Linked DNA regions of Canis lupus familiaris. The protein of the gene in region 1 purifies or fractionates together with the protein of each later gene. This does not show direct contact. Links are inferred from orthologs where the notes say so. Each region holds a gene or a part of one and is shown on either strand. Other genes may lie near its edges. The genes, in order: KLF5 and EP300.

Region 1 (4,325 bases):
TCACATCTTGTCTAAAAAAGAAGAGATACAAACATGCATAATCCACCCAATTCATCAGCTGAGTAAAGACAAACTTACTAAAAATTCCCCCAGCGATACCTGTGAGAAGTACTAGGGCAAGCTCCTTTCAAGCGTCGCTTATAAACGTATCAGGTTTATTTGTCCATTGTGTAATAACTGGTTTACCAAAACCCTTATGAAACTCTCTATAACGTGTATTTGGTAAAATCGCTCCCACAATCAGCCCCGGACAAAAAGTTTAACAGGCAAATCAAGAAAAAAAAAAAAAAAAAAGCAGCAGCAGCAGAAAGAAAGGATTAGAATTCCTTTCTAATCGATAACAAAGTGTATTTTTATAACTCACATACAAAAGCAGGATTCCCTACCCCATTACAGTTGAGTTTTCAACTTAAATACAGTATCGTACTACTACTGCCGAACCTCCTCAATTCTGCTCGTGCCATATTTATGTTAATACAGGTATGTTTAAACAAACAAAACCTAAGCAAAACAACCTTAAAAATAATATTGCGAAGTTCTGTTTTAGGGTTTCTTTCTGTTTGTTTGCCCAGGTAGATATTGTTGAAGTATCTAATATAACATATTCCTTGGCTATTTCAGTGCCTTTTCTCATGTACAGGTCACTGGAAACTTAAAATACAACCTCTTGAGCAGAACAGTATCCACTCAAAGAACAGAACAACTTCACTTTCAACATTTGATCTAAATGTTGATTTTAATCAGCAGATTCTGTAATTGGTTAATATGATAATGAAATGTTCCTATTCATATCCCTATCTAAAACAGATCTTTAATTACCTAGGGGAAAATCACTCCCTTGGTAGAGTGGTGCTAAGGAGTCCGTGGGTGGGGAGAGGCTGCTGTATCCCTAGCACAGTCATCAGCAAAACATTTACCATGTCCTTCTCAGTGGCCCAATGCTACATTCCCCCTTACTCTGTAAAAAAAAAAAAAAAAAAAAAAGCTCAATCATCCCTTAGCCTCTTGGTGTCTCTTAACCAGAAGTGACCAACCTGAAATAACCAAATCGTTCTCAAGTGGGGATTTTTTTTTTTTTTAACACAACGATCCAGAGCTTGTAACTAGTCACCCTCCGTCTTTTTTTTTTTCTTTTTACAAACTCTTCTATGCCAGTACATAAACTAGCACATAAACATAAACTTAATATTTATTTTTTTAACGTCGAAAAGTAAATTTTCAGAGCAAAGCAGAGCCCACCCCACCCCCATGAAATGGCTCATGCACCTATTAATCGTGGTGGCATCCTAACTGGTGAATAATACACTTTTTTTTTTTTTTTTGCTATCACTTCATTTCAAAAGCGTTTCGTATCAGACCTCGTACCATTCGCTGTGGATGTTAAGACAGGGCTTCCCAGATAGACACGATTTAAAAATAAAAACTAACGCTCGGGCCCTGTGAGTCACACCTCTGACAAATGCCCCTGCCCTCTCCGGGCACCACGAGGCCCGCAGACCCCGCGGCGGCGCAGGGGCCGCACCAAGGGGCCGTGAAACGAAGCGTCTCGAAATAAACCCAACTAAAACCCTTCCGTGCGCTTCGCTCCCGTGGTGGTTAGTGGTTTCTGCTTTTAGCTCTTCCAGCTGTTTGCATGTGGGTATGTTTCCAATTTTTTTTTTTCCTTGGGACAGGCTAAAAGTCCCGGGAAGTTTTTTTTTTTTTTTTTTTTTTTTTTTTTTCCAGGGCTATATGACTCCCTGCGTGGGCGAAAGAAACAGGCGGCTGCTCTAATTCGGCTGCCGGGCAAGTGTAAAGAGCCAACTGCCAGCTTTCAACGCGGCTCCGGGAGGAAATTTACGCGCACATGAAGAAAACAACACCCCCGGTCCTTTTTCTGGGTCTTGGCTTTTTAAGGAAAAACACACACACACACACAGACACGCCGCTCCGGTACCACCGCAGCTCCCCCAGCTCTCGGTTCCCCAAGGCAGCCCCGAGATCGCGTCTAGAGCAGCCTGAGCCCCGAGATACGAAAGTAGCACCCGAGGCGCCTCCCGCCGGCACCCGGGCTGCGATTCCACCTGACCCGAGCCTACGAGGGGGATCCTCCGTGGGGTGGGGGTGGGGGTGGGGGTGGGGGTGGGGGTCGGGGTGCATCAGGGGAGAGCCGGGATTTAGACGGACGCTGGACGTGAGGCACGAGGGGCAACGCCAAGGTGCGTGTGAGCCCCCGCTCCGCTCGAACCTCTCCCCGGACGGGCCCATCGGGGCGGCTCCGGCCGGGACGCCCCCCCCCTTCCGGTCCCCCGACTTTCTCGCTGCTGCCTGCGAGCGCCCAGGCCGGCAGGGCCGGGAGGGGAGGGGAGGGGAGGGGAGGGGAGGGGAGGGGAGGGGAGGGGCCGCCCCCCGCCCCCCAGCGCCCCGACGCACGCCCCAGCTTGGAGCGGCCCCTGTCGCCCGCGCGTCGCAGCGGCGGGACACGCCCGAGCTCCGGGAGGGGGGCGGAGGGACGGACCGACGGAGGGAGGGAGGGAGGGAGGGAGGGGAGCGCCTCTTCCTACCTGGACCAGCTCCTCCGGGGGCAGCCGCGGGCCCGCGGCGGGCGGCGGCGCCGGCTGCGGCGGCTGCGGGGGCGCGGGCTGCGCCTGCGGGTGGTGGTGCGGGTGCTTCAGCTCCTCGCCCGGGAAGAGCGCCGCGTCGCGGGCCGGGTTCGCGGCGCCCAGCACGGGCTTGAGCTGCGCGAACACGGGCTCGTCCTGCGGGGCCGGCGGCTGGGGCACGGGTCCCAGGCGGGCGCTCATCGTCAGCACCCGCGTGGCCATTGGCACTCGCGGGGGGCGGGGGGCGGGGGCCGGCGGCTCCGGGCGCGGGTCGGGCGCGCTTCCCACCTCGCCCACGCCGACGCGGGCCGGCGAGCTCGGCGCGGGGCCGCGGGCGGAGAAGGGGACGCTCCGGGCGGGCGGACCCCCTCAGCCAACAGCCGGCGCGGTCTTCGAAGGCGCGCACGAGAAGCAAAACTCTTCCGCTCCGCCACGCGCAAACGCCAACGTCTCCGCGGCGGCCACTTTCTCCCGCCCCGCCCCGCCCCGCCGCGCCGCGCCGCGCTCTCTCACTCGCCGGAGCCCGCTCCCGCCACCGCCGGTCTCCGCGAGCGAGCTGCGAGCGCGCGTACCTGCCCCGCGACTACTGACACTTGACGCCCGCCTCTATTTTACCCAACTCCGGGTGGGCGGGGCCCGCCGGCCTGACTGGCAGCGCCGCAGCGAATCCCGGTGCCCCGAGGCCGGCCGGGCCGGAGGGCGCAGCCTATGAGGAGGGAGAGGCTCACGCGGGCCCCGCCCCCGCCGCGCTGACCCGCCCCCTCGGGCCACGAGCTTTCGCGCGCAGGGCGGCCGCGCAGTTTGTACACAACTTCTCTGACAGATTGGGCTGCCGGAGCCGGGGGCGGAGGAAAGGAGAGGCGCGGGTGGAATCTAGGAAGAGAGGGAATCGGGGTGGAGACGTGGAGGGAGATCTCTCCAACTGTTCTCCGCCAGGGCTAGGGAGAAAAAACAAGAGGTTTGCACGTCTTAGGTGTTGTGCAAGGGACCTGAGACTCCAAAGCCGAGAAGCCCGGCAGGCAGCGAGGTGGGGGCGCCGAGGGTTCGAGGGGCTTCTCTCAGGAGCGTGTATTTTTAAATATACAAAATGTACTTTTCTTTAGCGGAGAACTAGGGGCGGTGTGATAAGCAAATTTAAAAACAGCTCTTGTGTCTGTGTGTCTTCAGCAGTGAACGTGTCCATCTGGAAGGTCCTGAATAAAAGGTTTAATGGCCAATAGATTTTTTTTTTTTTTTTAAGTCCTGGCATAGGAGCTTGTTTTCCCCTACACTATGTAAATGGCTGGAAAGAAGGTTTCACACCCAATTTCTACCTCGTATCTGTATGGGGAGGAGGAGGATGGGAATATGGGGATATGAATTTTGAAGTTTTTGATATTTACAACTTTTGATTCTAGCCGAAGCCTGGAATCTAATTTAAGCCCTAACGACTAGTTCCAATGTATTTAAATAGAGATTACATCTTTGACTTGTTTTTGCTAGCACTGTATGTTCAAAAAAAAAAAAAAAATGGAGCTCAATATTTACAAAACAGAAACGTGGCACATTTACCTGACACTGGGGCACCTTTTCCTACGAAAAGACAACCAAAGGAGCCTTAGACGCTCAGCCGCTCTGAAAACTGGGAATCCAAATTTGTAGGAAAGTAATAGTCCAATATATTACCATCCATTAACTACATTATAATGGGAAGGTGCAGTTTTGCCATCAATCACCTAAGGAAAACACTTCCCTAATCCTTAA
Region 2 (3,809 bases), on another chromosome or scaffold:
CTTTCCTTTCCTTCCTATTCTTTCTTCCCATTATAGTACCTAGCATAGAGGGAGCTCAAAGATTCTGCTTAGGTCTGATACTGACCATTGTATCTTTTGAATTGTGTTCTGAGACTTGAAGGCATATAAGCAGGGTGACAAGGGGTAAGAATCCATAGTATGTTTAGTACACCACATAAATTTTCCATTTATGTATAATTTCTTTCAAACTGAGCTGTGGAATACTTGAGAGTGAATGAACAAAACTATAGGTTTATGAATGTCTGTGGTCCTAAGGTTGAAAATCATGACCTAAAATGAGAAAAGTATGGGCCTGGAACAGTCAGTAGCTTCCTTGTGAGAGGCTCATTATGTACATAGGAGAAATCCAAGTTCACATCTAATAGTTGCATCCTTACTAATAGAATTCTCAATAGAATTCTGTATGTCAAGGCTCAGGACTTTTTATTTGCTCACTTATATTTTATTTCTCTGTCATGTTGGTGAACAGAGAAATCCCTTGAGTCAATAGCTACTTCATAAAACATCATAAGTTAGCAACTGGTTCATCCCAGCCTCTGATATGCAAGAAATAGCAGAGTGCAGAAAGGAAACTTTTGTTTAGGGTAGTTCCTAAAAATACTAACTACTCATGAGGTTTCTTATTGGATGACTTAGGAAAAAGAGATTGCTAGTTATCCCATTAGAATGTCATGATTCAAAACAGTTACTCAGTGTGGGAGTTCATTATATGCTCTCTACTTTTTCTATACATTTGCAGCTTTTCCCATCAGAAACTTAAAACAAATAGTCAATCCTTATTTTCTTTGTTTCTCCTCTGAGGCAGTCATCTCTAAGACCCTACCCCTCACACATTGCACACAGCTAGTGCAGAAACTGGCTGTCTTTCCTGTGTATAGTCAGCCAGCCAGTGTTGCAAGTCCTCAAGCTCCTGTGCTGAAGCACAGTTTACTTCAAGGACATGAAATAGTCCAAGTATGAGAAAGCACAATAAATGAATATAATGATTCAAGTCCAGAGATAGAGGGTAAATGATGCTGTCCTATTGTGGAGCTTAAACTCTGGTTGTATCATTGGCAAACTTTTTGTTTTTTCCCTTTTTCTGCCCAGCTTTCCCAGCCAGCTGTAAGCATTGAAGGGCAGGTATCAAACCCTCCATCCACTAGTAGCACAGAAGTCAATTCTCAGACCATTCCTGAGAAGCAGCCTTCACAGGAAGTGAAAATGGAGGCTAAGATGGAAGTGGATCCACCAGAACCAGCAGATACTCAGCCAGAGGATATTCCAGAGGTGAGAGCAGGGCAAGGACTGCTGTTGGTTAGGACCTCAGTCTAGGAACCAGTTTAGCATTCTGATAATTAGGTCTCATTTCATTGATTTCCACATGAGGAAGGGTCTTTAGATATGTCCACAGGACAGAGTAAATAAGATAATAATCTTGTTGCTTTCTGGTGGCAAGTCTTTGGAATACTAAAAATGTTGACCTTGTCTTTCAGACTAAAGCAGAGGACTGTAAAATGGAACCTACAGAAACAGAAGAAAGAGGCACTGAATTAAAAGCTGAAACAAAAGAGGAGGAAGACCAGCCAAGTACTTCAACTACCCAGTCTTCTCCAGCCCCAGGACAGTCAAAGAAGAAGAGTAGGTCTCTTAGGCTCTCTGTTCCTGGAGGCTAGGGGAAAAAAAGAAAACTTTGAGTAGAATGGGATCAGGCTTCTTAGGTTTTAGAAATTGACTTTAATGTGATTTCATTTAAGTTTAGAGTCCTTTTGGCTTGGTATCTTAGTTATACTAATGTTGGAGAAGACTGTTTCTTTTTTATAGGTCAATTTCCTTCCTGCAGTCATTGGGTCAGTTATGCCCATGATTTCTTCAGGGTTGGGTGGTTAACAACTCCTCAAAATTATCTTTTTTTCAGAGGAGAAAAATTGTTACATATCCTTAACTCAAATGCAGGAAATATTAGCAGTGATAATAGTACTGTTTATGGTTAACCTCCTGCCCACTAGGCATTGCTGTTTGCATTGTCTCATCTAACTGAACAACAACTCTAGTTACTGGTCCCTGTTTATAGGCAGGGAAAACCTCATGCTCAGCACGGTTAAGTAGCTTGTCCCAGCTTATTACTAATCTCATCAATGAGCCCAGGCAGGCTGATTCAGAGTCTGCTCCCAACCAGCTCTTAAATATTAATGAATCCAGTCGAGCAAGCAGCTCTGCTTAATACAGAGTGTTAAACTCTCGTTAGTTGTTTAATTCCCACAGAAATTGACTTACCAACTAGGTTGGGACTAGAACTTCTTGTGACTCTAGTGATGCATTTGTGGCACAGGTAGGACTTCTCTCAAGGGAGGAGTGTGCTGGCTCCTAAAGATGGTATATATAAAGGTGTTCCGTTAAATATAATGCAGTTTAAAATGTTGAGATTAAAAAAAATTATTTGCATTTAAATGAGGTTCCTATAATTGAGGTGTCATTTTAATATAGTCTGCAAGAAACCTAATCTTACTAGGAATCTGTCTTGTAAATAGCTAATTTCACAAATTCAAATTTTGTTTCTTATTAGTATAATCAGATATGAAAAACAAAGTATCCTTTCCCATCTGTTCTTTTTTTTTCCCCCATGGTCATCCCCACCATGAAGTGAACAATAAAGTACTAACAAATACCCTTCCTGAAGATAAAAATTAATTTGTAAATAGAATAAGTAACAAGCCTCTGCTGAGAGTGTTTTAAAGCTCAAAACTGCCAAAACCTTAATGTATAGCTTCTTAAATAATAGCTAAAATTAATTCCATTTGGGATACACTAGCAATTCTTTCCTGACCTTTAGGAAACATATTAAGAACACACTGGAATGAAATTTGGTCAACTGAGTCCATTGTTTCAGCAATAACAATTTAGTTCTCTCTTTGTTTAGACTTAAACCTGACATTAGACTTAAACCTGACATTTGCCATTAAGATAATATGTCCTCTTCCTTAGCTCTAAAACACCACGCTAAATTTAATGAGGGACTCTTCCCTTCAGGGGTTCTGATTGCTTTAGCATTAGGACAATACCAGGTCTAATTTCTGACTTGTTAAATACTGTTCTTATTAATGAGGACTTTTTTCTATTCGTGTTTGACAGTATCCCCCCACCCTTGGAATGTTTTTTGACAAGTTTCTTCATAAATTTTTGGAATGTTTAGGATTCTGTTTCTACTTGGTCAAGACTGAATCTTAACTGAATTTTATCTTGACCGAATTTTTGAAAAATTAGCTGAGCCTTGAAGGATGTTTAAAACTGACTAGACCTGGTGTTCTAAAGTCATTATGAGACAGACCAGGAATTAGAAATAGAAGCGTGGGGCAGCGTGGGTGGCTCAGCGGTTTAGCACTGCTTTCCGCCCAGGGCGTGATCCTGGAATCGCAGGATCGAGTCTCACGTTGGGCTTCCTGCATGGAACCTGCTTCTCCCTCTGCCTGTGTCTCTGCCTCTCTCTTTCTCTGTCTTATGAATAAATAAAATCTTAAAAAAAAAAAAAAAAGTGTGTCTTAAGTGATACCTCCATGGAGACAGTGTAGGCAGATCTTGTTTTGTGGTTCATGAGATAATTTTATAGTTTTACCTTGAGCATTTTCTTCTTTTGCTTAGCTGAAAACTAATTTCAAATGTGCTCTTAAGTTTTCAAGCCAGAAGAGTTACGACAGGCACTGATGCCAACATTGGAGGCACTTTACCGACAGGATCCAGAATCCCTTCCCTTTCGTCAGCCTGTGGACCCTCAACTTCTAGGAATCCCTGTAAGTATGTGGTGGTATTTT

Evidence for each region.
Region 2: the proteins of KLF5 (region 1) and EP300 purify together in Homo sapiens (affinity purification with western blotting; 3 studies listed by BioGRID). This does not show direct contact. The link is inferred for Canis lupus familiaris from reciprocal best matches to the Homo sapiens genes KLF5 and EP300.

What each region holds. Positions count from the first base shown.
Region 1 is NC_049243.1:27,271,083-27,275,407, reverse strand, and holds the start of KLF5 (Krueppel-like factor 5), read right to left. Parts: upstream 2,805-4,325; coding exon 2,544-2,804; intron 959-2,543; exon of another isoform or gene 820-958; intron 12-819; coding exon 1-11. UniProt on the Homo sapiens protein: Transcription factor that binds to GC box promoter elements. Activates the transcription of these genes.
Region 2 is NC_049231.1:25,055,616-25,059,424, reverse strand, and holds part of EP300 (histone acetyltransferase p300), read left to right. Parts: exon of another isoform or gene 1-1,110; coding exon 1,111-1,290; exon of another isoform or gene 1,291-1,496; coding exon 1,497-1,641; exon of another isoform or gene 1,642-1,672; intron 1,673-2,277; exon of another isoform or gene 2,278-2,367; intron 2,368-3,669; coding exon 3,670-3,788; intron 3,789-3,809. UniProt on the Homo sapiens protein: Functions as a histone acetyltransferase and regulates transcription via chromatin remodeling. Acetylates all four core histones in nucleosomes. Histone acetylation gives an epigenetic tag for transcriptional activation.